4 linked regions of the Arabidopsis thaliana genome follow. The protein of the gene in region 1 interacts with the protein of each later gene in a pairwise test. Each region holds a gene or a part of one and is shown in the gene's direction. Other genes may lie near its edges.

The links.
Region 2: the proteins of GONST5 (region 1) and p24beta2 interact in a protein complementation assay, tested with the Arabidopsis thaliana proteins (one large-scale study listed by BioGRID).
Region 3: the proteins of GONST5 (region 1) and RBOHD interact in a protein complementation assay, tested with the Arabidopsis thaliana proteins (one large-scale study listed by BioGRID).
Region 4: the proteins of GONST5 (region 1) and AT3G52640 interact in a protein complementation assay, tested with the Arabidopsis thaliana proteins (one large-scale study listed by BioGRID).

What each region holds. Positions count from the first base shown.
Region 1 is NC_003070.9:7,675,094-7,681,475, forward strand, and holds GONST5 (golgi nucleotide sugar transporter 5), read left to right. Parts: upstream 1-3,114; coding exon 3,115-3,228; intron 3,229-3,324; coding exon 3,325-3,574; intron 3,575-3,669; coding exon 3,670-3,877; intron 3,878-4,059; coding exon 4,060-4,291; intron 4,292-4,382; coding exon 4,383-4,604; 3' UTR 4,605-4,750; downstream 4,751-6,382. Other genes in the region: AT1G21864 (Plant thionin family protein), read left to right, coding at 472-753; AT1G21866 (Plant thionin family protein), read left to right, coding at 2,406-2,687; LYM1 (lysm domain GPI-anchored protein 1 precursor), read left to right, coding at 5,596-6,262. UniProt on the Arabidopsis thaliana protein: GDP-mannose transporter that may be involved in the import of GDP-mannose from the cytoplasm into the Golgi lumen.
Region 2 is NC_003074.8:2,452,573-2,458,940, forward strand, and holds p24beta2 (emp24/gp25L/p24 family/GOLD family protein), read left to right. Parts: upstream 1-2,666; 5' UTR 2,667-2,896; intron 2,897-3,054; coding exon 3,055-3,252; intron 3,253-3,490; coding exon 3,491-3,677; intron 3,678-3,753; coding exon 3,754-3,861; intron 3,862-3,946; coding exon 3,947-4,080; 3' UTR 4,081-4,346; downstream 4,347-6,368. Other genes in the region: AT3G07670 (Rubisco methyltransferase family protein), read left to right, coding at 98-155, 310-363, 612-683, 785-865, 1,048-1,220, 1,324-1,426, 1,513-1,644, 1,736-1,858 and 1 more; AT3G07690 (6-phosphogluconate dehydrogenase family protein), read left to right, coding at 4,660-5,293, 5,495-5,716, 5,810-6,087. UniProt on the Arabidopsis thaliana protein: Involved in vesicular protein trafficking. Mainly functions in the early secretory pathway but also in post-Golgi membranes.
Region 3 is NC_003076.8:19,393,594-19,403,357, forward strand, and holds RBOHD (respiratory burst oxidase homologue D), read left to right. Parts: upstream 1-3,447; 5' UTR 3,448-3,991; coding exon 3,992-4,619; intron 4,620-4,711; coding exon 4,712-4,874; intron 4,875-5,067; coding exon 5,068-5,116; intron 5,117-5,461; coding exon 5,462-5,575; intron 5,576-6,016; coding exon 6,017-6,826; intron 6,827-6,924; coding exon 6,925-7,020; intron 7,021-7,167; coding exon 7,168-7,963; intron 7,964-8,065; coding exon 8,066-8,175; 3' UTR 8,176-8,468; downstream 8,469-9,764. Other genes in the region: AT5G47900 (heparan-alpha-glucosaminide N-acetyltransferase-like protein (DUF1624)), read left to right, coding at 13-138, 219-310, 403-469, 753-831, 945-1,036, 1,121-1,264, 1,344-1,370. UniProt on the Arabidopsis thaliana protein: Calcium-dependent NADPH oxidase that generates superoxide.
Region 4 is NC_003074.8:19,513,794-19,523,863, reverse strand, and holds AT3G52640 (Zn-dependent exopeptidases superfamily protein), read left to right. Parts: upstream 1-3,319; 5' UTR 3,320-3,446; intron 3,447-3,521; 5' UTR 3,522-3,573; coding exon 3,574-3,658; intron 3,659-3,748; coding exon 3,749-3,862; intron 3,863-3,946; coding exon 3,947-4,061; intron 4,062-4,622; coding exon 4,623-4,705; intron 4,706-4,853; coding exon 4,854-4,930; intron 4,931-5,331; coding exon 5,332-5,409; intron 5,410-6,027; coding exon 6,028-6,099; intron 6,100-6,201; coding exon 6,202-6,275; intron 6,276-6,373; coding exon 6,374-6,506; intron 6,507-6,613; coding exon 6,614-6,685; intron 6,686-6,771; coding exon 6,772-6,891; intron 6,892-7,109; coding exon 7,110-7,181; intron 7,182-7,287; coding exon 7,288-7,428; intron 7,429-7,618; coding exon 7,619-8,235; coding exon of another isoform or gene 8,236-8,239; exon of another isoform or gene 8,240-8,521; coding exon 8,522-8,786; 3' UTR 8,787-8,991; downstream 8,992-10,070. Other genes in the region: AT3G52660 (RNA-binding (RRM/RBD/RNP motifs) family protein), read right to left, coding at 1-9, 138-317, 499-639, 713-829, 907-1,266; AT3G52630 (Nucleic acid-binding, OB-fold-like protein), read right to left, coding at 9,268-9,332, 9,422-9,680. UniProt on the Arabidopsis thaliana protein: Probable subunit of the gamma-secretase complex, an endoprotease complex that catalyzes the intramembrane cleavage of integral membrane proteins such as Notch.

The sequences.
Region 1 (6,382 bases):
TAGAAATTCACTCTTTCCATTTTTTTTTTTCTTTTACCTCAAGTTCCACCACCGTATTGTATCGAGCCATCAATTGAAAGGTATGCATTCTTTACCATGTGCACATTACCATTTTCGTAACAAAAACGTGGTTACGAATTTAAAGAAGAAAATGCCACTAAGATACTTGTTGTACTGGCTAATATTTTTAATATGAGCTATTAATGTTACTATATTTATGCATAGCAAATAGTTGTTTAGATGACCAAAACAGTATAACACATTTATAAGTTGTCCAGAAATCAATCGATATATTTGCCAAAGAAAAAGAGACGAAAAAAAGTTGACCTCCTAATAGTTAGTTACTTCTAAAATCAGCTAAAACTATATTTACTATATAAATCATCCACATCAACCAACATTCTCACCAAATCATCTCGTTTCACCAAAAACATTACAATTTAAGATTTGCAGACTCACAATACTTACGACATGGCAGTTCAAGTGTCAAAGAAAATTTGTCGTGTATTGATGATTGTAATTTTATTTGCAATGATGTTTTCAGCTCATTCCAACTCGATAGATGTGTGTGTCAAAAATTGTGGCGTGAACCAGTGCATGAAAGCATCAAAGAAAGCGACTCCAGCTATATGTGACAACCCTTGCAAGATTATATGTGATCCTCTCAACAACGAGCGATACATCGTCCCTCGAGGTAATGGTGGTCCTATAAAAAGGTTCTGCAGAGCATTTAGCTGGATTTGTAGCGCGTAATTGATCGACATTACAAAAATTGTCTCCTTTCTTTATGCATATATTATATATTTATGTTTTTTTGTATCATTGTATTGATCCATATTTCAAGTACTTATGTATCCTTCTTCCATAATTTTATTATACCTAATACTCCCTCATTTTCAAATTATATTTGTTTAAAGTTTTTCAGACAAATTAAAATAATTACAATTAATTTCTGTTTTTCTTTTTATTAATATGCTATGATTTTTTATTCGTGAAGACATTAAAAAAAACTAAATTTTTAACCAAACATCTACATTGAAAAACATAACCAAAACTTATTATGAAACAAATTTTAAGTTATAAACGCCAATAAAGTTGAAACAATATAGTTTAAAAATAAAATAACTAAAATATATGATGTTAATGTGATTTAGTTAGGCATTAAGTTTCCATAATTTGTATAGCTAATTTTTTTTGAACATAATGTTAAATTATATTCAAAAATATATATATATATATATATATATATATATATCATGTTTACAACAAGTGCAACTGTTTTAGAAAGAAAGCTGAGAATATAGAGTTGTAAAAAAGAATTATGTAGGCATTTGAATTTAATAATTTTATGGAAAAAACTGAAGATGTTAAACAAATATGGATTTTATTTTTAAAATAAATACTTTCAATCAAATTATATTAGTCTTGAATTTATAGATTTTATGAAAAAAAAGTTTATTGTGTTTTCATGGAGGAAAATGACGATAAAGACAATATGAAAGAAAATTATGTTTACAAATGTACATATTTACCTGGGAGGAGTCATATTAAATGATCTAATCCGCCTTAGTGTATTGTATGTATCTAGAACCTCTTACTTATTCATAAACAAAAGTACATATTTTCCTTACGTTTTCTTATAAACAAATGTACATAATTTCCTACTTATATATATATATATATGTATTCAACTCAAAAATTATAGACAAAACAAAAGGATTACGTATTCTTTTTGTTCCTGATGAATCTTTCACCATATTTAAGAAAAACTATAGGTTTGAAAGAAAGAATGTACCCCGATGATCGCCAAAATATTTAAATCACATGAAAAATAACAATGTGATTTAGTTAGGCATTGAGTTTTTAGGATACTTTTGGTGGAATTGTTATTTTTCATTTTTAAAAAAGGAAAGATTTTTAGTGTCCAATGATAAATTCAATGATCTTAAAAAATTATGTACAGTGAAAGGTAATCATTCCTTGTTAACGGTATGTATTCTTTACCATGTCATGTGCATATTACGATTTTCGTAACAAAAACGTGGTCACGAATTTTAAGAAGAAAATGCCACTAAGATATGTGTTGTACAGGCTAATATTTTAAATATGAGCAATTAGTGTTACTATATTTATGCATAGCATGCAAATAGTTGTTTAGATGACCAAAACAGTATAATACATATAAGTTGTCCAGAAATCAATCGATATATTTGCCAAGAAAAAGAAACGAAAACAAGTTGACCTCCTAATAGTTAGTTACTTCTAAAATCAGCTAAAACTATTTTTACTATATAATCAACACAACATTCTCACCAAATCATCTTGTTTCAAAACCACAACAAAAAGAAAAAAGAAAGAAAAAAAACATTACAATTTAAGATTTTCAGACTCACAATACTTACGACATGGCAACTCAAGTGTCAAAGAAAATCTGCAGTGTATTGATGATTGTAATTTTATTTGCAATGATGTTTTCAGCTCATTCCAACTCGATAGATGTGTGTGTCAAAAATTGTGTCGTGAACCAGTGCATGAAAGCATCAAAGAAAGCGACTCCAGCCATATGTGCCAACCCTTGCAAGATTATATGTGATCCTCTCAACAACGAGCGATACATCGTCCCTCGAGGTAATGGTGGTCCTATAAAAAGGTTCTGCAGAGCATTTAGCTGGATTTGTACCGCTTAATTGATCCACATTACAAAAAATTTGTCTCCTTTCTCTATGCATAAGTTATATATTTATGATTTTTTGTATCAATGTATCGATCAATATTTCAAGTATTTATGTATCCTTCTTCCATAATTTTTTATCTTTAACAATATTTACTTGTATACGGAAAATTTGTTAAAAATCTAATTATTTATATTTATATATGTAACAACTGAAAATTGGTAACTTGTATAAGCATAATTTATGCTGCATAAACATATTTGCATTTAACTACACGGAAACTTACTAAAGAGAAAAAGAGAATTCTCGCATATAAAACAGAACCGTTACTCTGTTTCTCTTGGCGCTTTAATTAGGGTTTCTTATTTAGCTTTTGCATTGCCACATTCCTAAAGGTTTCATCTTTTGGATCCTTCTCTGACTCACTTCTTAAAACCCATCAATGGAGGAAGGAAGTCTGTGGCGTCAATGGACTATGTTCAGATCTCTGTTATCGATTCTTCAATGGTGGGGTTTTAACGTTACTGTTATCATCATGAACAAATGGATCTTTCAGGTTTAAAAAGTCTCTTACTTTTATCATTAAAGACTTAGCCTTTCGTTTGTTTTATCTGATCTGCGTTTGAAATTTGGTACCTTTCCTTGTTTGCAGAAACTGGATTTCAAGTTTCCATTATCAGTTTCATGTGTTCATTTCATATGTTCGTCGATTGGAGCATACATTGTGATTAAAGTCTTAAAGCTTAAACCTTTGATTGTGGTTGATCCAGAAGATAGGTGGAGGAGGATTTTTCCAATGTCATTTGTGTTCTGTATCAACATTGTGTTGGGGAATATTAGTCTTAGATACATTCCTGTCTCTTTTATGCAGACTATCAAATCTTTAACTCCTGCAACAACAGGTTTAGGGTTTTTTTAAGATTGAGAATTTTTCAAAATAAAGTGATTTTTTTTTATTGTTCTGATTGGTTTTTGTGTAATGGTTTTTTGAGTGCAGTTGTGTTACAGTGGTTGGTATGGAGGAAATATTTTGATTGGCGTATTTGGGCGTCATTGGTGCCTATTGTTGGAGGGATTCTTCTTACTTCTATTACAGAACTTAGCTTTAATGTGTTTGGATTCTGTGCTGCTTTGTTTGGATGTTTAGCTACCTCTACAAAGACCATTCTTGCAGAATCTCTTCTTCATGGATACAAATTTGACAGGTCAATGTTCTGTTTCCTGAGGTTTTGATCTTCAGTTTCACATGATAGGTGTTGAATGTGTGAAACTTACATTTGGTTTCAATGACATGCCATGCTCTCATAGTCCAATACTTGATTTGCTTTTTCATATTTCATGGAACTGAGTGTTTGTGTCCTCCTCATTTTCATGTCTCTCTATGTAGCATAAACACGGTATACTATATGGCGCCTTTCGCGACCATGATTCTCGGGTTACCTGCATTTTTACTAGAAAGGAATGGAATTTTGGATTGGTTTGAAGCACATCCATCTCCATGGTCGGCTCTCATAATTCTTTTCAACTCAGGTGTTCTAGCTTTCTGTCTTAACTTCTCCATCTTCTATGTCATTCAATCCACAACAGCAGTCACATTCAATGTAGCTGGAAACCTTAAGGTAAATGAACAAATCCCAAACCACATAACATTAATCTTTATATTCTAGTTTCAATAACTCAGATGTTTGATGGATGGTATGTGATTTGCAGGTTGCAGTAGCTGTGTTTGTTTCATGGATGATATTTCGAAACCCGATATCACCGATGAATGCTGTTGGCTGCGGAATCACACTTGTGGGCTGCACCTTTTACGGATATGTAAGACACATGCTTTCTCAGCAACAACCCGGAACTCCTAGGACTCCTCGTACCCCAAGGAACAAGATGGAACTGATCCCTCTTGTTAATGATAAACTCGAGAGTAAAATTTGAATATCATCGGTAAGTCACTAGACTATTGAACGCACACAAAGAAGTTAGATTTGATCTTGAACATCCACAAGAGAGTTATAGTTTAACTATATGTTTATTTTTACTCAAACTAGAGAAGTTAGAGAAGTGCCATTTTATTTGTTTCCATTGTATTAAATTATCTATCCTCATCAAACCAACTCAGAGATGACCACAAAGATACTTAAAGCAGGCCCATTTTTGTATTCAATTATGGTAGTGCTTTCACTTACCTCAGCTTTTTAATTTTTCCTTCCAATTTTGTTTGTGCCATAGTGCCATGTTCTAACATCAGAGACTTAATACATGACAAAATGGTGCAAGTTTGGGAATCTTTGAAAGAAGATGAAAATAGAAAGTTAATTTGACAATATATAAGAAATGATTATTCATTTTCCCGCCTTGATACATGAAAGAGCTTAAGACGGTGTTTAAGGGAAACGAATATTTTAGCTCTCAAAACAGCTCATCAAATTCGTTGCTTTAGCTTCTCAAAAGTAAAAAATGGGCTTTTTCAAGTGGGCCTCAACTTATGTTGCTGAATTTACCGCCATATCCTTCCCTTACAAAAAATCAATTTTCAAAAAATCTTCATGCTACAGTAGTCTGAAACCAGGTCAAAGGAGTTAAAGAGAAAAGGGCAAAACAGTCAAACAGCATAAAAAGATGTCTGTGTCTTGGAGATCGCAAAGCTACCGTTTTCTGTTCACTCTGTACAACACACTTGTCTCCTTCTTCCTCTCTTCTCTTCTCTCTCTCCATTTCAAAAAGGGTGAAACTTTTCTTCTCTTTCTAGAAGAAGAAAACCAGAGATACAGAGAGATTCTCTCTCTACCAAACCCCTGGAAAAATCTCCAGATTCATCTTCCATAGACCAAACTAAACTCTGTTCACTGTACTCTCTGTCATTGTCCTGTAAGAGAAATTGAAAACCCTAGGAGATTTTGAATTTCGTAAAACCCTAAACACAAAAATGAAAATCCCAGAAAAACCCATCTTCTTAATCTTCGTCTCTTTGATCCTAGCTTCGAGCTTAACCTTCACAGCGACAGCGAAATCAACAATCGAGCCTTGCTCAAGCAACGACACTTGCAACGCTTTACTCGGCTACACACTCTACACCGACCTCAAAGTCTCAGAAGTCGCATCTCTCTTCCAAGTAGACCCAATCTCTATCCTTTTAGCTAACGCCATCGATATCTCTTACCCAGACGTCGAAAACCATATCCTTCCTTCGAAGCTCTTCCTCAAAATCCCAATCACTTGCTCCTGCGTCGACGGAATCAGAAAATCTGTCTCTACCCATTACAAAACCCGACCTTCTGACAATCTAGGATCGATTGCTGACTCTGTTTACGGAGGCTTGGTCTCTGCTGAGCAGATCCAGGAAGCTAACTCGGTGAATGACCCGTCGCTGCTTGATGTTGGGACTAGTCTTGTTATCCCCTTGCCTTGTGCTTGTTTCAATGGCACCGACAATTCTTTGCCGGCTGTTTATTTGTCGTATGTTGTGAAGGAGATTGATACATTGGTCGGAATCGCGAGGAGGTATTCGACTACTATTACTGATTTGATGAATGTGAATGCTATGGGAGCTCCTGATGTTAGTTCTGGAGATATTCTCGCTGTTCCTTTGTCAGGTCAGGTCTACACAATCTTTAAAAGTTGTATCTTCAGATGTTTGTATAATGGGAAGTAGTTTCTATTGTTAGTTGTTGGTTGCCAAATTGGGATTTTTGGTGTAGCTTTGTGGACTTTTG
Region 2 (6,368 bases), on another chromosome or scaffold:
GATGCAGTCACTAGTACTTATTGTTTGTAGGCTAGGGGGTTGATGATTATGTCTTGCAAGACACTGCTCATGTCTTTTTCCTTTTTCTTTTCCTCAGTTATGAAGATCTAAGAAGCAGGATATTTTCCAAACACCCTCAACTTTTCCCTAAAGAGGTAACTGGTATACGCCCATTTTGCTACAGCTTACTATTTGGACATGTAATAAGATGCACTTCTGTAATTACAACTAGTGTTGGTTCTATTTTATTATCTGAGCTTAAATTTGTTTTGTCCACATGTATATGAGTGTGCTATTTCTTGGTTGCAGGTTTTCAATGATGAGACATTTAAGTGGTCTTTTGGAATCCTATTCTCACGGTTGGTAAGAACTACTGTATCATAAGCAATCATTATCTTGATAATTGATGTAAATCTAGATGTCTTGAATTTGAAACAACAGACTTGTTCTTTAATCTTAGCATGACTTTCTGCATAATATAGCTGTCTCCAACAATTTATTGTTTGAACAATGACCACTCACAACCAAAATATTGCATTATTTCGTTTCTCTTTCCTTCCGTGTGCTGCGTGCTTGTCTCTGCAATTCAGACTTAAGCTTCTCTAACACAGGTGCGGTTGCCTTCTATGGATGGAAGATTTGCCTTAGTTCCATGGGCAGATATGCTTAATCATAATTGTGAGGTACTTCTACTTATCTTTATGACCAATTAGCTCCTAGATTCTCCTAATCAGAAAGCATGATTGACTTATGGTAATCAATATTTCAAAATCTGCTTGGAAAGGTTGAGACGTTCCTGGATTATGATAAATCTTCAAAAGGAGTTGTCTTTACAACAGATCGACCATATCAACCAGGTGAGCAGGTAAATAAGATAAATTCATTCAGATAACCTGAGCGAGCATTGAAGTTTAATATAAGTCAGTGTATAACACAAAGAAGTCCCGTTTACACAGTTTGCCTTTTAGCGCTTCAGTAAGTCAGTCCAAAGTGGAACCAATGTTGTCTGAAGTCTCTGATATGTTTCAGTAACATGACATTGTGCAGGTTTTCATATCCTATGGGAATAAATCTAACGGAGAGCTATTGTTATCTTATGGGTTTGTTCCCAGAGAAGGAACCAATCCTAGTGATTCAGTAGAACTAGCATTATCACTTAGGAAAAACGATAAGTGTTACGAGGAAAAGCTGGATGCTTTAAAGAAACACGGATTATCGACGTATTCCATTCTCCACCATCCATGTTCCCCTCTCAAATTTGTAGATCTCTCTTGATTAACTTGAGTTTTGTTTTGATTGTTTGTGTTAACTTTTCTCTGGCAGACCTCAATGCTTTCCCGTAAGGATAACGGGTTGGCCAATGGAGCTAATGGCATATGCTTATCTTGTGGTGAGCCCTCCAGATATGAGAAACAACTTTGAAGAGGTTTGGCAACTCCATCTTGACCCTTTTTACCATCCAATTCTTCCCAAATTCATAATACATCTCTTATCAATTATTATCCATTTCAGATGGCGAAAGCTGCTTCAAATAAGACATCAACAAAGAATGATCTAAAATATCCTGAAATCGAGGAAGACGCATTGCAGTTCATACTGGACTCATGCGAAACAAGCATATCAAAGTACAGCCGATTTCTAAAGGTAAGTAACAAAACAGCTCATCTCTCTCTCTTTGTGGGAAAATTTTCACTCCATCTGCTTATAGTTTGCTTTGTCAATTATCTAATTGTAGGAAAGTGGATCAATGGATTTGGACATAACATCTCCAAAACAGTTGAACCGAAAAGCGTTTCTGAAACAGCTAGCTGTAGACTTGTCCACTAGTGAGCGCAGGATACTGTACCGTGCTCAATACGTAAGGAACAACTTTCTAGCCAATACGATAGATAAGAGTCTGTGGATCGATCCATGATATTGTGGAATCTGTGTTTTTTTTTTTGTTTTGTTTGGGTCAGATTCTGAGGAGGAGACTGAGAGATATCAGAAGTGGTGAGCTGAAGGCTCTACGGCTCTTCAGTGGACTTAGGAACTTCTTCAAGTGAATGTTGAATGAGGACATTTCAACAGCTTTAAGATGGATCAAAGGTAGGCCTCGTTGTGCTTCAACCAAAAATGTAGTTTTTTATTACAAAAAAATTGAACGTTGGTGTAGGCATGGTTGGATCTGTCTCACTCGTATAGGAATATATTGGTCCAGCCATATATGTAATTTGATCATTTTCTATAAACTCAAAACCTGAACCTAAATTGATTAATTAAGGAAACGCATGAGAGAGTAAGGGTAGAAACATGTTCTTCGTATTTGATCCGAATCGAACTGAAATAATCGATCCAACAAACAAAGATAATTTGAAAATTAAGAATATATCTGACTACAACTCATAACGAAAACCGTACCAAAACTCACACTCCTTGTTACCGCAAACAAGATAATCTGATGGTACACGTCAGAACATTTGTTTCTTTAGCAAAGCAAGTAAACATTCCACTGTGGCAAAGTAAAAAACGAGAAACCTATAAAGTCTTCCTAATGAAACGTACTGATTTTATGGAGTTTCCATTTTCGACATAATATGACGTGGCAATATCTAAATGGTTTAAAGATGTTTTATCTCCAATGATATAACGCCACGTAAGCCCGCTGACCAAATAACCCAAAGAGTAAGCAAGCGACGTCGTTTATAGTTTGATGATCTTGTCGGGTAACGAAACTGCCCCTTGAGTCAAAACAGGCTTCTTCGTGTCCGATTCTGAACGAGCTCGCTCTTTCTCATCCAATTCTCTCCACCGTCTTCTACTCCGATCAATCTTCAAATTTTCTTAACACTCATCGACCAGATCGAGTTTCCATCGATCTAATCAATCAATCATCAGATTTGATCTTCTCAAGAAGGTAAATCCCTCTCACTCTCTGTGTCAAACCTAATCACCTCGTAGGAATCGAAATTGGAACAATTCAATTTGGTTTGGTTTGGAATCTCTAGTCGATTCTTCTTCTAAACGATTGAATTGCGTTTTGTGCTTTGATATAATTCGAAATTATTGTGGCAGATGAGCTTGAAGGGTACGATCGTATTACTAGGGCTCTTATGGAGCTTCCAGGCTACGTTAGGGATTAGATTCGTGATAGACCGTGAAGAATGTTTCTCCCACAAGGCTGAATATGAAGGTGATACGCTTCATGTCTCTTTCGTCGTCATCAAGTCTGACTCTCAATGGCATTTTAACGAGGATGGTGTAGATCTTGTGGTATGACTTTTTTTCTTCTAATTGAACTTTTCTACATTCTACATTGCAAAATCGTCGAAAATCAATAGAATTGGTATTCCTAAACAATGCTTAGGATTTCCATTGTTAATGTTGGTAGATAATTTGAAGTATGTATTGATAAAGAATTTGGTTACTCTTTAAAGCTGTTATATTGTACCATCTGGTTAATTTGGTGGTTGTTGTTGTTGTTGATATATTTTGGATGCATTTTGAATAGATACATGGCCCAACAGGCGAACAAATTCATGACTTCAGGGAGCAGATAAGCGCAAAGCATGATTTTGTTGTCCAAAAAAAAGGGGTTTACAGATTCTGTTTCACAAACAAGTCTCCTTATCATGAAACCATTGACTTCGATGTACAGCTTGGTCACTTTGCATACTACGATCAACACGCAAAGGACGGTAAGGATTATCTGTTTAGTTTTGTTTCAGTTTCGTTTGGTGATGAGGTATTTAGCTGAAGATGGTTTTTGTGCAGAGCATTTCACTCCCTTGATGGAGCAAATATCAAAGTTAGAGGAGGCTCTTTACAACATCCAATTTGAACAACATTGGTTAGAAGCTCAGACCGATCGTCAAGCTATCGGTAACATTTTTTCCTCTAAAAACCACATTTGTTGTTCTCACTTCAATATTGAGTGATGGTTTGAATATGGTTGTTCCTTGTGCAGTGAACGAGAACATGAGCAAAAGAGCAGTACACAAAGCTTTGTTCGAGTCGTTTGCACTGATTGGGGCAAGTTTTCTCCAAGTTTATCTTCTGCGTCGCTTGTTTGAACGCAAACTCGGCATGTCTCGTGTCTAAAAGTATCGAGTTTATTATGACTTTGAACTTATTTTGCCTTAAAATGTACCAGGGAATCTTTACTTAAAACCTTTTTACAGACAGATCGTAGTTCATTGGAAGATTTGCTTTCTCCCATGTTCAAGAACTAATCCTCTCGTGATGATAATTCTTTTTTTTCTCTTTATTAACAGACAACTTTTCCACAAGCTAGGTTTTCATTTCAATAGAGAAAATAGTGATTCCTTAAAACCTTTTTTCCCTAAAACAAAGAGAATAACAATGTGATCAAGCTTTGAATAAGACGTGTCAAAAGTACTCAAAATCCCTTAACTGGATTCGAACTCTTATAGAGAAGGTTATAAAAGTGGACACTAGACTAAGTTAGTTGGGCCCAGAGTAGATAGATAAAGCCAGCTATCATTTTCTTAGTCGTCGTACAAGTTACCTGAAAATAAAATAAAAACACAAACTTTCCTGAAAAAGTCGTCTCCAGTTTTAAGCATTGATAAATCCGACAAGAAGTCCGATTTTGTTCCATAGCTTGCTTGTGTTTTTAGTGGATTGAGTCACTGAAAGAGAAATCATAAGGCTTTGTTGATGATGGATCATTTGGTGGAGACGAATTCAGTTCCGAGCAGATTGGTGGAAGAAAGGCTTGATGAGATTCGTAGAGTAATGGGTAAAGCTGATGACGACCCGTTAAGGATCGTTGGTGTAGGAGCTGGTGCTTGGGGAAGCGTTTTCATTGCAATGTTGCAGGAAAATTACGGTAAGTTTAGGGGCAAAGTTAGTGTGAGAATCTGGAGAAGAGGAGGCAGAGCAATCGATAAAGCCACAGCTGAACATTTGTTCGAAGTGATTAATTCGAGGGAAGAATTGTTGAGGAGGTTGATAAGAAGGTGTGCTTATCTCAAGTATGTGGAAGCTAGATTAGGGGATAGGGTTTTATATGCTGATGAGATATTGAAAGATGGGTTTTGCTTGAATATGATTGAGACTCCTTTGTGTCCTTTGAAAGTTGTGACTAATCTTCAAGAAGCTGTTTGGGATGCTGATATTGTCATCAATGGTTTACCATCAACTGAGACGTTTCAGGTGTTCAATGAGATTAGTAAGTATTGGAAAGAGAGGGTTAATGCTCCTGTTATTATCTCTTTGGCTAAAGGTGTGGAAGCAGAGTTTGAGCCTCATCCTCGGATTGTTACTCCTACGCAAATGATCCATCGAGCGAGTAAATTCACTTCCCATTGTCTTTTATCTGATTGCTAGATGAATATTTGATATCATCTTCCTTAGTATTTTTGTTGATGTAGAGAAACTTTCTATTTTTATTAAGGTTATATGAGTATTGACTGTGTTGGCGTTGAAGTGTATGATCAGTAGTTGTTGTCATTGGAAATTCTACAGTTTGCTTGTCATATTCTCTTTGCAGCTGGTATTCCTCTTGAGAACATTCTCTACCTTGGGGGACCTAATATTGCTTCCGAGGTATACAATAAAGAGTACGCCAATGCACGGATTTGCGGGTCTGAAAAATGGAGGAAGCCTTTGGGAAAGTTTCTAAGGCAGTCTCATTTCATAGTCTGGGATAATAGTGACCTCATTACTCATGAAGTAATGGGTGGCTTGAAGAATGTTTATGCCATTGGTGCAGGTAAGATCAGGTGTCTTAAATGGTTATCTGAATAATAGTGATTCAAAGTAAATTACTGGAACTGGTGATCAGAGGTCAAAGTTTATGAGCTAGTGTTTGTTTTGGCGTTTTTGTATTCCACAGGAATGGTGGCTACACTGACTAAGGAAAGTGCTACCAGCAAATCAGTGTACTTTGCGCATTGTACTTCAGAGATGATTTTTATTACTCATTTATTGGCCAAGGAGCCAGAGAAACTCGCTGGGCCTTTGCTTGCGGATACCTATGTAACATTACTGAAAGGTCGTAATGCGTGGTACGGCCAGAAACTTGCAAAAGGAGAACTTAGCCTTGAAATGGGTGACAGCATCAAAGGCAAGGGAATGATTCAGGTACTCCATATATCTCAATGACTTCGGTTTTAAGTGTTAAATTAGCCTTAAATTATGTATGTTTGATATTGAGAATTTGTCGAATTTGTAACTTTCATCTGAGTCGAAATAGCAAGTGTCCATACCAGCAAAATTACTAAGAACTTTGTTCTGTATAATGTAAATTTATGTTCACAAAATCCAGTTTATAGCATAAAACAGTAAAGAGTATTGCACATTTCAAAGAAACTAAAGAATTTTGGAGATTGAATCTAAACGCCACTGAGAAAATACAAAATTCT
Region 3 (9,764 bases), on another chromosome or scaffold:
GAAACTGTTTAGAATCTGAAGGTGAAATGTGGGGTACGAGGTCACACTGGACCAGGCTGTAATGCAGTTGGAATGCTTGACCGTATGTTTCTAGGAATCCAGCATTTGTACAGAAAACCTGTATATGCACGAACCAAGGTTCTAGATTTTAACCCAAGTCCTGTTTTTCTCAATCTTTGTTTTATGTCCATTTCATTTGATCTCTTATATATTCTCAGCAATGCAGTATAAATTATCCAAACAATGGGCCATTACCTCCAGACGCTCCTTCTTGGTGTCAAGCGCCTTTTGACCCCGAAGGCCTCTTAAGGTCTCTGCTTCTACTCTCCAAGAAAAATATTAAATAGTAAGTTGTGTTTTATCATTGTTCAGAAAATAACTTGCAAGTTTGTTTAATTGTAGTTCGTTGATGGCCACCGTAACATGTCTAGTGGGTCTGCACTATGGCCATATTATCATCCACTTCAAGGTAAACATATCTTTTTATGAAGAAGTTCGGCTGCTCTGCTCAACTCTTAGCTATATGTCTCCTCTATGTAGCATATTAGAGCTGTTGTGTTTTGGTTAGAGAAATGGTAGTAAGGGACAGGTTTATAACGAGCCTTCAATTAGCATAAGACGTACGTTAAGCGTCTCTTGTTAGTCTAGTCCCTATGGTTTTGGTGAATTGGAATAAGAATATCAGTTGTATAGCATTTTTTTTTATCTTATCAGAAACTTACTTGTTGCTATATGTAATTAACTTTTTACAGGATCACAAAAAGCGTTTGAATCAATGGATTTTACGTTCTTTTTGTCTTCTGATGTTAGGTCTCGCACTGAACCTCTTTGGTATCTTCCTTGACTCTTATAGCTCTCATTTACATCATTTGTTGTCCTAATTCATTGCAAGATCAAAATACCTTAGTAAATCACATGTCATTCGTTTTTTTGGTTGCTTGCAGGAATGCATCTAAATAAACCTCTATACACATTGAGTTACATGTGTGTCACCTCAGGGGCCTCGGGATTTTTGTTATCCGCGATATACCTAATGGTTTGGTTTGCTATTATCTTGAGACTCCTAATGAAAGCATCACTCATGGTTAAAATGTAAATCTATCTCTCACTATCTTCACAGGTCGACGTTTATGGATACAAACGAGCAAGCCTTGTGTTAGAGTGGATGGGAATACATGCCTTACCGATTTACGTTCTCATTGCTTGCAATCTTGTCTTTCTAATCATTCATGGATTCTACTGGAAGAACCCCATTAACAATCTCGTAAGTTTTACTTTCGTTTTTTTTTTTACCGTTATTAACGTTTTGTGTTGGAGTTCAAAAATGTTATTGTTGTTTGCAGCTTCATTTAATCGGAATCGGAAAGTAAAGAAGAGAAGAGAAGGGAGGTGAAGAAATAAGTTTCATCAACCAAAACCTTAATTGTTTTTGTTAGAAATAAACAAATGCCATCTTCATCTTCACATCCCATATGGAATCCAATTTATGCTATACTTTTGTAAACATACGGTATATCGTAGAAAAATTAAAACTTCATGGCTATATAAGCAAAGCCTTTTGTCGAAAATACACATGTTGGCAAGTTGTGGGAGCCACCAACATAAGCATATTATATTCAAACAAATGTTCAATCGCACATGTGATGGTTTAGCGATTTAGCTACCGCACAACTGAATCAAAAGACTTGTTAAATTGCTCTCTTAGTCTTATCATACCTTCATCTCATATCCATTATAATCATCTTTAGCAATACTATTTTATTTTTAACTACGAAAAATAAACCTTGTTACGCCGTTATTAACAGTGATCATTTTTTTCGTTAAAGAAATTTAACATTCAAAAAAGATAAAGAATGATCACCAATAAGCGTCATGATCTTCCGTATGGTGATGATAAACATCGTTTGCAGTTTTGTTGTATAGTACAACGTATATGTAGCCGTAACGTGTGAATAGTGTATGGTTAGGGTCATTTTATTTGTGAACTACCACAATTTTGATAGCAGTGGAGATAAGTCAAAGGTTCGTCTTCTAATTAATTAACAGCGATTATTAGACTATCTAACTTTTCTTCTTTTCTTATTTTGATAATAACTATATATCTTCTTTAGCCACCTTACTTTCTCATCGGGTTCTATTTAAATAGGGACAAAGAAAACAAACCATCGATTTGTACTATGTGCTCAATTATATCATATGTTTTGTCTCCATCTATGTATCTATTTCTCTTTTCCATTTGGTAAATTATTTAAGACCCTTAAACTGACTTTTCTCGTGGGCGGCGTCGAAGTTTTGGTTAACAGACAAAACATCTGTTCATGATGCCTGCATAACTCTATGTTTTTATACTACTCATTTGCCCTCTATTTCATGCTACTCTTAAAAATAGCTAAATAAAAATACTTCAATATTAGAAAAAAAATCTTCTTGATGTCAAAAATACACTTTAGATATCCCCTCTAGTTCTTGTGATGCTAATATATTACAAAATTGTTTATATATATAGAAATATTACCTCTAGCAATACAAAAATCTTGTTATATCAATTAAATATAACACTATCCGACTAGTGTTTACTAAAATAACACATAATTTTTAATTATGATCTTTGAATTTTAGTTTATGTATTACGCTTTATAATTTTGTTATCAAAAACTATAAAAGCTCAAAAGTGAGCATCTATACCCTAATTCCGTTTTTATGCATACACTTAGGTTTATTTTTATTACGAGAATCTGTGTTTAGTATATATAAAATAGAGTTTATGAATGACTAAGTTAAATACTTCAATACTAATTAAAGTAAGTCGTATTGATGCAGACAATATAAACTTTAGATATCTCCGCTAGTTTGTATAATGCTAATAGATTCAAATTGTCTTTATGTAGAGGAATTACCTCAAATAACATAAAATTTTCATTTTATTAATTAAATCTCATTTTGTCATTTCAAAAGTCATTTTAATTACTGTGTTATTTGTCTAAAGTATACTCCAAACAAGAAACCAAAGTAGAAGGTCAGTGCCCAAGAGACAAATAAACTTAAGCATGTCCACTCTTTTTAGCGATCGGATCGCTTATCTGTTCTTATCCATTATGGAACATGAACGATGTTCCTTTAAGACTACCACATTCAAACGAAAAATAAGTCATCGATGATAGACTGGATAGTTATAGTTTGATGATCTAGCTAATTGACTTTCATATTTACATAAAACAGAAATGTGTTTTTATCAAAAAAGAAAAAAGAAAAAACAGAAAATGAACAATACATCTCACATGGAGTTTGTACAAGAATCCATAATAATTTTTTGTTCGGTACAGTAGGTTAGATATACATTTGAATACAGTTTACAAGCCAAATGTTAGAAGCAACATATTTATATAGTATCATCAATATACGATCCAAAATGAATTATAGATTGACTTATGGAAAAGTTAGATACTATATGCATGATTGCCAAATACATTGAAAAATAACAATTTAAGTTCTTCAAACAAAAGTTTATAAATGACTCGGTGTTTGACATAACTCGGGGTTGTTTTTCTTTGTTAATTCACACACGGGGTTGGTGTATAAATGACTTCGGTGTTTGAAATGTATGACACGGTATAAATAAAAAAGGTAAGGAAGAAATGAAGAATAGAAGAAGAACAAAAAAAAAAGGAAATTAAAAAAAAGTCAAAATAAATGGTCAGTAAAGGATTTTGACCAGACCGGAGCGGTCCATCCATAGTTTCCCACTACCTTCCCTGATTTAGCACAGAAGAATGGCAATTTGCATGCCATTTATTTCATCTATTCCTCCTTCACTCTATAAATATATTTTAAACAAAATCAATTTCTTCCATACACAAAAATCAAACACCTTTTGAGAGCGGTTATTTTTTCTCTATCAACTAATACAGTAACCTTACGGGTGTTTATTTGTATAGATCTCTGTGGTTTTCTTGGCCAAATCTAGTGAGATCTTTTTGGTTTCTCGAATTCGATGAAAATGAGACGAGGCAATTCAAGTAACGACCATGAACTTGGGATTCTACGAGGAGCTAACTCGGACACCAACTCGGACACGGAGAGCATCGCTAGCGACCGTGGTGCCTTTAGCGGTCCGCTTGGCCGGCCTAAACGTGCGTCCAAGAAAAACGCAAGATTCGCCGACGATCTTCCCAAGAGAAGCAATAGTGTTGCTGGCGGCCGTGGTGATGACGATGAGTACGTGGAGATCACGCTAGACATCAGGGACGACTCGGTGGCCGTCCATAGTGTCCAACAAGCAGCTGGAGGTGGAGGCCACCTGGAGGACCCGGAGCTAGCCCTTCTTACGAAGAAGACTCTCGAGAGCAGCCTCAACAACACCACCTCCTTATCTTTCTTCCGAAGCACCTCCTCACGCATCAAGAACGCCTCCCGCGAGCTCCGCCGCGTGTTCTCTAGACGTCCCTCCCCGGCCGTGCGGCGGTTTGACCGCACGAGCTCCGCGGCCATCCACGCACTCAAAGGTCTCAAGTTCATTGCCACCAAGACGGCCGCATGGCCGGCCGTCGACCAACGTTTCGATAAACTCTCCGCTGATTCCAACGGCCTCTTACTCTCTGCCAAGTTTTGGGAATGCTTAGGTAAGTAAATCACTTCTTACTAAGCAATTCTATTAGTACTATATGTTTCCATTTTTGTGTTAGTCTCATTTTTGTTTTGTTTTTTACTCTAGGAATGAATAAGGAATCTAAAGACTTCGCTGACCAGCTCTTTAGAGCATTAGCTCGCCGGAATAACGTCTCCGGCGATGCAATCACAAAGGAACAGCTTAGGATATTCTGGGAACAGATCTCAGACGAAAGCTTTGATGCCAAACTCCAAGTCTTTTTTGACATGTAAGCTTTTTTTTACATATCTTCACCTAACCCACAATAAATATATAACGCGTAATCACTATTTGTCGTTTAATATTGACTCTTAATGAAAATTAAACGGTCATCAGAATTTAAGGACCAAAAGTAGTAATATTAATCATTTGTGGAGTTTTGGTGGATTTGTAACTAATATATGACATCACTGTTTGGTCAGGGTGGACAAAGATGAAGATGGGCGAGTAACAGAAGAAGAGGTGGCTGAGGTGAGAAAACACACACACCACTCAATAATTATCTTTTTCAAATATTTTATTATATTTATACATTTTTTTTATCTTATATTTATTCATATTCCTGGTTGAATTTTTTTTCTCTTATTTTATACGTTATTCTTGGTTGATTATTTTGACAATTTTGTCCACGCGCAAATCCCCACTGACTTTATCTGCTGACGTTTACTATTAACATCATCAATATATTAACTTCATGTGAACACGACAAAATGGTAATAGATAGATAGAGTAGTAGTCTTTGTTACTTTAGCTTAGGTTATTAATGTTTCAAATACTTTAGCTTTTGTTTTCTAATTTGTTGGTAATTTATTGCAGATTATTAGTCTTAGTGCTTCTGCAAACAAGCTCTCAAATATTCAAAAGCAAGCCAAAGAATATGCGGCACTGATAATGGAAGAGTTGGACCCAGACAATGCTGGGTTTATTATGGTACGTGTGGTCCACTTTCACCCACTCAATCACACTAATGGTATTATGTACGTCGTAAATTTAACCACTCTTAAAATACTAGAAAAAACGTGGAAAAACATAACGTTCTAGAAGTCTTTAGTGGTCAAAATTGGGTCACCATGATGTTTTTTAATTTCCAACTTATTGGGCCATCTTGAACTTTTTACCAAACCAATCAACAAAATCTCGACAATGGGTGGTTAGTGGTTACGATATGAAGAAATGACCAATAAAATTGTAAAATATATGAACTAACACTATAATCCAAGCTTAGAAAGTCTTAGGCGGCTTCCGATAGTATATTGTTTTTTAATTATTGGAGAAACCTATGAAAAGTGTTTTTAAGAAAAACAGTTTGGAACATTAATGTTTTATTGTAACGTTTTAGTTAATTATATGATATGGACATTGGTGAAACAGATCGAAAACTTGGAAATGTTGCTATTACAAGCACCAAACCAGTCGGTGCGGATGGGAGACAGCAGGATACTTAGTCAGATGTTAAGTCAGAAGCTTAGACCGGCAAAAGAGAGCAACCCTTTAGTGAGATGGTCGGAGAAAATCAAATATTTCATACTTGACAATTGGCAGAGACTATGGATAATGATGTTATGGCTTGGCATCTGTGGTGGCCTCTTTACTTATAAATTCATTCAGTACAAGAACAAAGCTGCCTATGGTGTCATGGGTTATTGCGTTTGTGTCGCCAAAGGAGGCGCCGAGACTCTCAAATTCAACATGGCTCTCATATTGTTGCCTGTTTGTCGAAACACCATCACTTGGCTTAGGAACAAGACTAAGCTTGGTACTGTCGTTCCTTTTGATGATAGTCTTAACTTCCACAAGGTTATTGCAAGCGGGATAGTCGTCGGTGTTTTACTCCATGCGGGTGCCCATTTAACGTGTGATTTTCCACGTTTAATTGCCGCGGATGAGGACACCTATGAGCCGATGGAAAAATACTTTGGGGATCAACCGACTAGCTACTGGTGGTTTGTGAAAGGAGTGGAAGGATGGACTGGCATTGTGATGGTTGTGCTAATGGCTATAGCCTTTACACTCGCGACGCCTTGGTTCCGACGTAACAAGCTTAACTTACCTAACTTCCTCAAGAAGCTTACCGGTTTCAACGCCTTTTGGTACACCCACCATTTGTTCATCATTGTTTATGCTCTTCTCATTGTCCATGGTATCAAGCTCTACCTCACAAAGATTTGGTATCAGAAAACGGTACTCTCTTCAAACCTCATTTTATCTGTTTTAATTTCTTATTTTCTTTCCTTTTTCCGGTTAATAACATTTATTACCTGTTTGTATGATTCTTGTAGACATGGATGTATCTTGCTGTACCCATCCTTCTATATGCATCGGAGAGGCTGCTCCGTGCTTTCAGATCAAGCATCAAACCGGTTAAGATGATCAAGGTCAGATATATTTCTATTTATCTCTTGAAAACCTTATGTTTCAAGAAATATTTCAACTAATACTTTTAAACCATCTTATTTTATAGTTCTTTTTGATAAAAGTTTGAAAATTGCCTTTGAACTTAATCTATATATATGTAACAACAGGTGGCTGTTTACCCCGGGAACGTGTTGTCTCTACACATGACGAAGCCACAAGGATTCAAATACAAAAGTGGACAGTTCATGTTGGTGAACTGCCGAGCCGTATCTCCATTCGAATGGCATCCTTTCTCAATCACATCAGCTCCCGGAGACGATTACCTGAGCGTACATATCCGCACTCTCGGTGACTGGACACGTAAGCTCAGGACCGTTTTCTCCGAGGTTTGCAAACCTCCTACCGCCGGTAAAAGCGGTCTTCTCCGAGCAGACGGAGGAGATGGAAACCTCCCGTTCCCGAAGGTCCTTATCGACGGTCCATACGGTGCTCCCGCACAAGACTACAAGAAATACGACGTGGTACTCCTCGTAGGTCTCGGCATTGGAGCCACGCCTATGATCAGTATCCTTAAGGACATCATCAACAACATGAAAGGTCCTGACCGCGACAGCGACATTGAGAACAATAACAGTAACAACAATAGTAAAGGGTTTAAGACAAGGAAAGCTTATTTCTACTGGGTGACTAGGGAACAAGGATCATTCGAGTGGTTCAAGGGAATAATGGACGAGATTTCGGAGTTAGACGAGGAAGGAATCATCGAGCTTCACAATTATTGCACGAGTGTGTACGAGGAAGGTGATGCAAGAGTGGCTCTCATTGCCATGCTTCAGTCGTTGCAACACGCTAAGAACGGTGTGGATGTTGTGTCGGGTACACGTGTCAAGTCCCACTTCGCTAAACCTAACTGGAGACAAGTCTACAAGAAGATCGCTGTTCAACATCCCGGCAAAAGAATAGGTAACTAATCTCGACCGTTAATCTCGTTATGTACGTGATGTTGTATAATAATTAATAAAGTGATGAATTTAGACTAAATACTAATATGAATTTTGATTGCAGGAGTCTTCTACTGTGGAATGCCAGGAATGATAAAGGAATTAAAAAATCTAGCTTTGGATTTTTCTCGAAAGACAACTACCAAGTTTGACTTCCACAAAGAGAACTTCTAGATTAATTATATACGTTGTAGAAAAATAAAACAAGAAACAACTATACAAATAAATATTTATTTTAAATTCTTTTCATTTTTATGTAAAATTATCTGAGTTATCTTTTTTTGTTCTTCTATATCCCTACCGTTTTGTTGGTTACTTTTTCACTACTTAGTTTAATGCCAAATTAAGTATAAGATAGTAGAAGTTTATATAGTTACAGCTTTGGTGTTGTAAACATGTAATCATGGAGTTATCTGTACTATTATTTTGTACTTATATTCGAATATTAACAACTAAAGATAGTTTTGATATTCAATACCCATTACTCATTTAACATAATGAATAGAGATATCAACATTAGATACGTCTTGATTATTTGCTCACCAATGCATTTGCGTGTTTAACTTGTTTATATGTTATTAATAGTGTTCTTTTAGTTAAAATGACAAATAATTTCTTAACTCAAAAGCATCTTATATCACAACTCTAGCTAGATTAGTTTAGCTTTTCATAAGTCTTCTTGCGTTTACGTCTTTATTTATGGGTTGATACCCTATTCACTACTTTAATTTGCCTTGCACTTGGGATAGTTTAAAAGACTTTAAAATTATGCAGCTAGAATATAATCAAAACTTGATATAAGTATCAAAATAATTAAATACAATTGCTATCGATAATAATCAGAAACAATCGTTATGAATGGTTAAGTTTGTTTCCTTAAAATGGTTACGAATGATTAATTTTGTTCCTTAGGTAAACTAAAAGTTCAAAAACAAATCCAACCTACTACAATCTAAGAAAACTGACAAAGTTTATGGTTGATTACAGAATAGGTCGCTTGAGCGTCAAATTAAGATAAAGAAGGAGACTTATGTAGAGCCGGCCCTTGGGCCAACCAGGCGAAGCATAGGTTTGCAGCTGCTAATAATATAATTTGAGTTTGGCTTTTTTCTAGAAAACTTTCTTTAAGTCTAGTGGTTCAATTATGGTGGGTACATCATCAGTTCATGGGTTTGACTTTTGAGACAAGTGAGACCGAATTTTTTTGTTTTTTCAACAAAATTCTAAAATAGATAAAACTTATGCGGCCCATTTCATTGTTCACTTGTAGGCTTGTAAAACTCAAGGCCGGGTCTGGAGTGTGATGTCAAGACTCAATATTATAACACTCTACTTCATATTTCACTATTTTGTGCATTATCTAGCTTCCAATTTTCTTTGCATTTCACAGTGTATCAATAGTTACTTTAGTGATGTCAAGATTACACTTTTAACACATTTTAAGTGTAGTTTTACAACATAAACTTGTGTCTCTAATTGGCAAAGTGAATTGCTAACGAGATCATGAATTCTGACTGTTGAGTCTGAGCGAATGAAACAAATGGACCAACATATGATTAAGGCCTGGAGTGACATATAAGCCAAAAAATAATGCTCTATATTGTAACACTTAAAAGATCTTACACAGTACGGTCTCAAGGAGGAAGAAAACATATTCCGCAAAGCAGATCCTTCCTTCAACTTCAACATATTAAATGAAAACAGATCTAAGAGACCGTAATATTTCGATCCTAGAAAATAAGAGAACTCGAAGGATTTATCAT
Region 4 (10,070 bases), on another chromosome or scaffold:
TGCCTTGACCTGCAATCATTCCACACAGCATATTAGTAAGATCTTTTTCATGGTTTTGAAAGAAAAACATTTGAACACATGTCTCTTTGTTGCTGCTTCTATTATTTATTAGTAAGAAAGGTTCTAATGAAGCAAACCTGGGAAGCCGAAGAATCTCCTCCTCCTCCACTCCTTGATTCAGCCCAGCTTACAGTTGGGGCATTATCATCAAGCTTAAAACTCGGATTTGACATTTTTTGTTTCGAGTATTCAGCACATGCATGGTTGTAATACTCGATGAAAGCAAATCCACGATTCCGGCCCATATTTTGTGGTTCCTGTGATTTTAACAAAACCAAATAGAAAACCGATCAACTGAGTGAGAAAGGCATGTCTTAAATTTCTATAGAAAAAATACTTCTGTAAGTTACAAATTACACATGAACTTGAGATGAAAGTTACAGAAATAACTTAATAGACACTATAGGCTGAAACTTATCCAAGTTGCAGGAGACAAACCTTTGGGAGTTCGACAATTTGAACGCCTGGACCAATTCTATTTGCTGCTTTCTTAATGTCTGACTCCATCCAATTTCTAGGGACATTACCAAGAAAGAGACGATGCTTTGCTTGGGTAGTCGAACATTTTATCCTTTTACCCTATTGAATTACATCAAGTAAATAAACAAATAAGAGCCAGACAATTTACTAAGAATCAGGTCAAAGAACTTACTCTGAAGTCAGTGTTATTTAGAGTATCAATTGCTTCAGCAGCTAAGTCCTTACTTCTGAATGTTACAAATGCATACCCCTTTCCATCACCAGAATCCTTTTCCCTCATTATCCTAACCTGTTGATATCACACCAAACTCAGCACAAGATAAATTAAATCACAACCATAGTTTAGGTAAGAAGATGTCAAATTACCTCAGTAACTTCTCCTATAGATCCACAGAAGCCCTTTAAGTCCCCTTCAGTAGCATCAGTAGGAATCCCTCCAAGATAAACCTCTGAACCATGTGGAGGAAGTGCAAGAAGTTCAACATGCCTTTTCTTTTCTTCTTCCTCTTCCGTTGCAACAGCATCCTCCTCCTCCTCCTCTTCTTCCACTTCAACCTCCTCCTCTATCTCCTCTTCTATCTCTTCAATCTCCTCCTCTTCAACTTCTTCGTATTCAACTTCCTCCTCCAGAATCTCCTCAGGATCATTGTCACCATCAAGGTCTACCCTTTCCTCAGATTCCATGGAGTCATGAGCCTCAGAAGCAGCAGTCCTCGTCCTTGACATCTTAAATATCTAGAAAAGAATGCTTGCAGTACAACTGTGGAGGAGACACAGAAGCAAGAAGCAAGTGGGGAGAGAGAATAAAACCGAGGAAAGGTTGGAAAAGAAACAATAAGAGGCCAATAGAAAAGAAGAATAAGAAGTTCGAATTGACGCTTTGCCATAATGCGGCTAAAAAGGTGACAAACAAATAGACAAAGAGAGAAGAGGGCGATGAAATGCTCAACAGGTGAAACAAAAAAAGATAAGAAACGAAATGACCCCTGAGAGCGGATAAAAACCATGATATCATAGGCCTTGGTTAGATGCAAAGAAGGTTAAAATATTCATGGCAACAAGAAAGATAAGAAGGGCTAAAGTCAAAATAGTATCTTTGCTTAGAAAACTCCAGCTCCATGTTAGAATCTCCCACAACAGACATTGTTCAGAATTTGCAAGTGATATTTTTTATGCTGCCAATCTAACCTGTTAAGAGAATCCTCAGCTTATAACTACAATTCTATTTGATTATTTCACACAAATTGACCACAATGATAGATACAACCAAGAACAACCCAATACACATACAAAGCTATAACTCAGAGAAATGTCAATCAAAGGCGTGTTTAAGCTAACTTAGCAATCATTGGAACAAAAATGAGAGAAAGATTCAGTTTTTAATTAAGATAAGAAGAGTTACACAAATCCCAATTTTGGATCCCCAACCAAAAAAAAAGATTCACGAAAGGAAACGAAGAGAGGCGCAATGAGATGAAAGAAGAAAGAGCGAGAAAGTACCTGAGAGAGCTGCCGGAAGAAAACCCTAATTTTGAGAATTACGGAGAGGATGAAGAAGTGTCTATCTTCGCGCACCTCAGGTGTTGAAAAATATGTATATGTGTATGTTGTATTGATATGACCTAAAAGATGCCTAAGCGAGACTATCAAGGAGGTGTAGTCACTTTTTATTATGATGCGACCAATCTTATATTACGGCTTATTACCGATCTTAATATACGACAAATTTGATTTTTATGCAAAAAAAACTTTCAAGTTGGATGAGAATTTGCGCCTTATATTTTTTTTACACATTGTTTTCAAAATTAACACTAGTTTTTTCTTAATTAACATGCAGTTTATACATGATCTACGTTATTTGTTAAAATCACATATGGAATAATTTCTTTAAAATTATAGTTTTACCATATACAATATGTTTTTTTTTTTATCAATTTTTAGCCAAAACTTGCCTATATAATCTAGCAAATAATACCCTAATCAATCATAATTAGTCTACGATTTTGTAAAAATGAAGCCATAAAATGTAATACAAATTTCTTACAAAAAAAAAAAGAAAATGTGGAATGAAAATATTTTTTCTTTTTGTATAAACAACTAGATTATAACCCGCGGTACACCGCGGAGACAATTATTTTTTAAAATTAGTATATATAAAAGTCTGTAAATTATATTTATCTATAAAATATTTATATTTTATAGTTTACAATTGTTATTAAGTAACATCCTTCCAAACCCGTTCTGCCAAACCCGTCCCGTTAAAAAAATTTGTAGTACACCGCTAATTTAAAAAAAAAAATTACGGGATTGCAATTATATTTTAGTTTGTCAAACAAATTTTTGTTTTAAATAGTTGTCGAAATCTAATTCAAATTTTGGAGAAATAAGATTTAGTGAACTGATAAGAAATGTATTTATGTGCGTTTTGCTCATTTTAAGGGATTGCAATTGTATTTTGGTTTGTCAAATATTTTTTGTTTTAAATAATTTCCGAAATCTAGTTCAAATTTTGGAGAAATCTGCGTGATATATGGGATTGGAATATATTTGGAATATTTTTTGTTTGTTAATCAATTTATTGCTAAAAGAAAATAAATAAATAAAAGCCAGTGGCAGCCATTGTAAATAAGTTCCAAATCTAGGATTTATTTTACAAAATGGCTGCAAAAATATATATATAGATAGGTTCACTTAATTACTTTTAATATAATAAAATCCGCACAAAATGTGAATACCTCAATTTTTCTATATCTTGGGAATTTTGAAAGACATAAGAATCAACACGAAAAATCTCAGTCTTTGACTCAGACTCCCACCGCGTAATTCCGAGCTAGGTTTCCATTTCTCCGGCGAATCGGACCTCTCTCTCGCTCTCTCTTCCAATTTCCCCTTTTTTCGTTTCCCAGGTACTGCTTCTTCCGATTCTAACATTTTTTGATCTTTTATAAAATCGGTCACATTATTCTTGATCGTATCTGCAGCGATGATTTGCAAGTAGCTTCCGCTAATAATCGCAACTCTCTGACGGATGCTATGGCAATGGGACTTATTCGTCTTCTTTCTATAGCTTTTACACTTGTTCTACTTTCAATCCTTCCTCTTCATCTCTCTCTCGCTGGTGAGTTTCCTTTCCCCGGATAAAATTGGTGATGAAATGTATTAGTTGATAGAACATTGTAATCTGAAATTGAGGTTTCGTTTTGTGTAGATGAGATAACATCTATTGAATCTGTACCTGACCTTCAGAAGCTAATGTATGTTGCTGTTGATGGGTTTCCTTGTGTACGTCTTCTCAATCTGTCTGGAGAGATTGGATGTTCAAGTAAGCTTCTTTTGGGCCTCTCAGCTACATGATTTTTATCTGTTGATGAGGTCCTCTAAGTTTTATGTTTATAAAAATACTCAGATCCTGGAATAAATAAAGTGGTGGCTCCAATCATAAAATTAAAGGACGTTAAAGATTTGGTTCAGCCACACACTATTTTGGTTACAGCTGATGAAATGGAAGATTTCTTTACCAGGCATGTCTCCTTTTTCATTTACAAAACTTTCATGACCTCTATTCGATTTTGTTAGTGATCTCTTAATTTGTGGAGTAGTGCTTTCCCACTCGCTTGTAGTTCTCATTTTGGTGTTTTATTTAACGTCAAACAAGATTTAGCTTTTGGGTGCCAAATCAGCCTTTTTGGAAAGGCAATTACATCCTTAAGAATAACGTATATCTAAGAGTTTGTTTTCATTAGTACTTGAGTATTTAAGGCAAACACTTTTAGTAATCTTCCATGACAGTGAAACAACAGATTGGAATGAGTATACCCTCTTATCACCATTTTTGAAATCTGCTAGAAATGTAGTCACTTGGTTGTTGGTGCATGGATTAGGTGTTTAGTGGAACCAGTAATTCATTGGCTTTTTCCGCTTTATTTTCATTCGACTAACGGAAAGTAGGTATACCTCCAAACACTTTACTGTAGAACCCTGCAGTCTGGCTTACTTCTGGCATTGTTCATTAGACTTGTACATCGCTTAGACACTCTATTCAGTAGAAATAACAGGACCACTCCTCTTTGTGCCTTTTCCAGGGTGTCAACTGATTTGAGCTTTGCTAGCAAAATTGGTGGTGTTCTAGTTGAATCAGGATCTAATTTCCAACAAAAGTTAAAAGGTACTATGTCCATCCACATATTTATGATTCTGTCAACTTGAATGGCTAATTCCTTAAATTGTCTTGAGTTCTTAATTCCCTTAAAAATAGTACTTGATACTTCTTATCTATGTTGATGGCGTTAGTGTTTCTTTCTTCTTTATTGTAGGGTTTTCTCCTGATAAAAGGTTTCCTCAAGCCCAGTTTTCACCCTATGAAAACGTTGAGTACAAATGGAATTCAGCTGTACGGTAGCGTAAACTCTGTCTGGATCTTTGAAATTACTTCTTCCTGTCAACTCTTTTATAGTGGGTTGGAAATTGTTTCAATCAGTTATCACCAAATCCATAGTCAAGCATTTCCGAGTTATATGCTGTTTTCTTCTGGAACTAAACTTAACTACCTGCTAACACACAAATACCATAAATCCTTTTCTTATGGTATAATTTTACTGGAGGAATGCATGTATCTGCCTAGATGATCACTTATAAAGAAGTTCAAAAATCTGTTGCATATTTATCTACCTTAATTAAAAGATAGTTCCTCTTATTGTTATCTACGGAGAAAAAATGATTTTGATTCTTATGAGTAGTTGCAGGCGATAAGTCTCTAGCCATTGACCATTGCTAAAAAATGATTATTTGCAGGCATCAAGCATCATGTGGAGAAATTATAATTTTCCTGTGTACTTATTGTCAGAAAGTGGCATATCAGCTGTGCATGAGGTAATCCTTCAAACTTGCATTCTTTTGCAAATTTTAAATGTGTCTATTTGTGTTGTCAGAAAAGCGAAATTGATGACATTTTTAGAAATATGAGGAAATGAACTCAAGGCTTAGAGAGGCATTATGACTGTTGGTCACTCTTAAGAGCAGTATTGCTTGATGAAAATATGGCTGTAAAATGATGCATGAGATATGTATCTCCAAGGTCATATGAAATGAATACTCCTAGTTTAAACTGAATTAGTCTGCAGAAATTTTTCTAAGCATTGATTACCCATTTTAAATAAGAATACAAATTTGGTCCTGGAATGTTTGTCTCATCCAGCTGAAGGCAACTCCCAGCTGCATCTGTAGATTTCAAATGCATGTTGCTTTCCATAGCCTGTAATTGGACTCAACCATAGCCTTTCCATTTGTCTTGTGGTAGTTGCCTTTAAACTGCTGGTCAACTATGTCATTCTATAGTATGTTGTTGTCCTTACCAGATGAGGTTCTGTCAAGAAGCTAGCTTTATGTTTCTGTTGTGTTGGTAGCAATCTAAAGTGTATAGTTTATGTGGATAGCTTCACTTTTTTCAGGTTATCGACTACATATTTACATCCTATTATATTTGCGCAGATCCTTTCCAAGAAAAAGATGAAGCATGGAACATATACCAGTGATGTTGCTGAATTCAATATGGTTATGGAGGTATATGGCTTTAGCAATCTTGCTCACTGGAACGTTAACCAGCTTTATGGATCTTCACTTTGACTTAGATTATGACACCCAATTCTCTATTTTTTGTATTAGACTACCAAAGCTGGAACACACAATTCGGAGGCTTGTTTGCAGGAGGGAACTTGCCTCCCATTGGGCGGATATAGGTAAAGATTTAGGTCTTTATTACTGTCTGATCTAATGACATATGAAAACCTTTTAAAGGATACGTTTCGTTTTCTAACAACTTTGTTATGAAGGACAGTGTTTGGTCCTCGCTTCCACCAATCAGTGTTTCGTCTTCCAACAATCGCAAACCAGTTGTGCTGACTGTGGCCTCCATGGATACTGCATCATTTTTCCGTGACAAAAGTTTTGGTGCAGATTCACCAATATCTGTGAGAACTTGCTATTTTCTGCTTTTGGGTTGATCTAGAATACATTTATTTACTCTTCTTATTCTTCTTTTCCCGATTTATTGCTCAACACGTTCTCCTTCTTTCAGGGTCTGGTAGCTCTTCTAGGAGCAGTTGATGCTCTTTCTCGAGTTGATGGTATTAGTAATCTCAAAAAACAGGTGCCAGTGTACCATGTGATTTAGTGTTATTTCACGCTTTTTGTTGTTTGCAAGCTTTAATACATGTAAATCGTAAATGAATGCAGCTTGTGTTTTTGGTTCTGACCGGAGAGACATGGGGTTACCTTGGCAGCAGGAGGTTCTTACACGAATTAGATCTGCATTCAGATGCTGTCGCAGGCCTTAGCAATACTTCGATTGAAACGGTAATCATTATTGTTTTGGTCTGACAAAGTTGATAGAGACAGCTAGCCTTATGCATGAAATCCCTGTGGAAAAAGTTGCCTGTGTTTCATCGTTGCTGCAACTTATTTGTTTCTTAGTAGCGCAGAAAGCAAGTTTAAGTGTTCCTTGTGAAATTGAATGTTCACAATTTTCTAAATCTAAAGATCGAATTCAGATTGCTTCTTCTATTATCTAACAGGTGCTTGAAATAGGATCTGTTGGAAAAGGTTTAAGTGGAGGGATAAACACCTTCTTTGCTCATAAAACAAGGGTGAGAAATTCCTGATATCCTGAAACTCTTGCATAATTCGAATTCGTTCGATAATGTGAAAACTGTCATAGGCGACTTAACCTCCACTTTTGGTGTTCTGCTTTAGGTTTCTTCAGTTACAAACATGACACTGGATGCTTTAAAGATAGCTCAGGATTCACTTGCATCAAAAAACATCAAAATTCTTTCAGCAGATACTGCAAACCCTGGAATACCCCCATCCTCCTTGATGGCTTTCATGAGAAAGGTACAATATATATTCCAAGTAAATAGATGGGAAGACAATTCAAATGTGTATTCGCACTATACTCTTTGCATATACTTCACCTTCAGTTGATCATGAATATGACAGGAGAAGTATACTTGCTTACTATTATGTGATTCTGAACCAGATTGCCTAGAGTGAAAAAGGTATAACATCATATTCATTGTTGCAGAACCCTCAGACTTCAGCTGTTGTACTTGAAGACTTTGATACCAACTTTGTGAATAAGTTCTACCATAGTCACCTCGATGACTTGTGTAAGAAGAGTCACAGCCTGTCTTTCTCTTCTTTTCGCTCCAAACCCCATTTTGCACTTTTGATTCCTTTCTGGTGTTGTATTGCAGCAAATATCAACTCCTCGTCTGTAGTAGCTGCTGCTTCTGTTGTGGCCCGAACACTTTACATCCTAGCAAGTGACAACAAAGATACAAGCAATTCAGCTCTGGGATCCATCCATGTCAATGCTTCTTTCGTTGAAGAGCTTCTAACCTGTCTTTTAGCTTGTGAACCGGGCTTATCTTGCAACTTGGTAAAAGACTATATTTCACCGACAAACACTTGTCCAGGCAACTATGCTGGCGTCATCCTCGGAGAACCTTCCTCCAAACCTTACCTTGGTTACGTCGGTGATGTTTCTAGATTCCTATGGAACTTTCTGGCAGATAAAACATCTGTCCAAAAGGGAAATACAACCTCAGTTTGTTCAAAAGGAGTCTGTAGCAAAACTGACGAAGTGTGCATCAAAGCAGAGAGCAACAAGGAAGGAACATGTGTTGTCTCCACAACCAGGTAAACTCTGTGCTTGGAAATTGCAATTTGGTTTGCATGCTCAAGTTCTCTCTTATGTCTCAAAATGAACCAAAATCTTAAGTCTGGTAGGCATTTTATAGGAATTATTAATTAGGATAGGCTTCAGAAGTGGAGTGTTTTTAGACTTGGGAGAAAGTCTATCTTTAGTTTGTTGACCTTTGAATTGAAGCTATCATCATTTTCTTCTTCCCCTGACCTGATATGTTGTATGTGACCTAACCAATTTGCTGTCTGAGCATAACACATTAAGTTCTGGTTTTGGCAGGTATGTTCCAGCTTATTCAACTCGATTGAAGTATAACGATGGAGCTTGGACAATTCTACCACAGAACTCATCAGATTCTATGGGGATGGTTGATCCAGTGTGGACCGAAAGCAACTGGGACACTTTAAGGGTGCATGTGTACACAGTCCAGCACTCAGCATACGACAATGCAGTCCTCGTTGCAGGTATTACAGTCACAACGTTGGCTTACATCGGAATTTTGGCTGCTAAGTCAATCATCACAAAAGCCTTGAAGCAGGACTGAGACTTGTATTTAATTCCCTCTCCTCTCGGCTCAAAATTACTTGTCAGTTTCCGTAAGACATTGCCTAACCAGCAACACCACCAATACCTTAGTGGTAGAAACCTTTTTTCTCAACCAAGGTTATTAAAATATGTCTTTGAGCTAATTCATGTTAAATTCTTTATTACACTGGCAAGAAATTTATAAGAAAAAAGTTTGCTTTCACAAAATCCTATAGATAAAGCAACAATACAATTCTAAATCCAGAGCAAAATCTTAGCTGCCAAGAAGAAAATAGTGTTTTGTTTTGTGTTTTGGTACCTCAATTAACAAAACAGCAATTTAAGCTTAGTTGTGATAGATTAAGAAGTTGTTACATATACTAAGTAAATAAAATCATAGAACCAGAAAGTGGTGAGACATCAAATACATATAAAGCATAAGCATCTCTACAAAATGTTTTAATGGAATCGCTTCCATGATCATAATCATCATCACAACATTAGATGAACAAGTGCTTGAACTCCCCATTTGCTAGCTTACATAGCTCGTTGTAGTTCTGTGTATCTGCAACCAAAAATAACAACCAAAACATCAAAACACAACTCAATAGCAAATCTGATAAACTCGACACAGTAATGGAATCACTAAATTACCAAAAGTGTTGCCAAAATTGGTCCAAGTTTCAGCTCGAATAGCGTTATCACTCTCTGCAATTCCAATAACCTCAAGGTAAGTAGTAAGAGGAGAAGGAGGAGACGATCCTCTAACAACGATCTGAAGATCATCAGTAGATTTGCCAACCACAGATCCAATCTCTGAACCAGTCACTTGAATCACAGTTCTGACTTTTTGGCCAATGAATCTCCTCAACAAAGCTCCGTTCACAAAAGCTGAAGGACTTGAAGTATCCATTGCTATCTACTGTTCAAAGATTCAAAAGCGAATTGGTAAATCAGTTTCGTATTCAATAGCAAAGATAAAGGGATTAAAAATTTTGAAAACCAGGAAATCGATTTTGAGAAATTCAATCGAAGGGAAGAGAATTGATTAAGAAGATTTACCTTGTTGGAGAAGATGAATCGTTCGTCGGAGTTGCAAATGATTAGCCCTAACTTCTGAGGACTTTCTAGGCTTTGAGAGAGTTTATGGAGAGAATTTGGGCGGGAAATGAAAAGCTTCACATGGCGCCAACAAATATGAAGAGAAACAATGGGACCAATCGTTTGATTATGGGCCTGTATGTATTGTACCCATTGGGCCTTTTAGGTGTTCCTTGGATCGTTGAGTTTTTTTCACAAAACC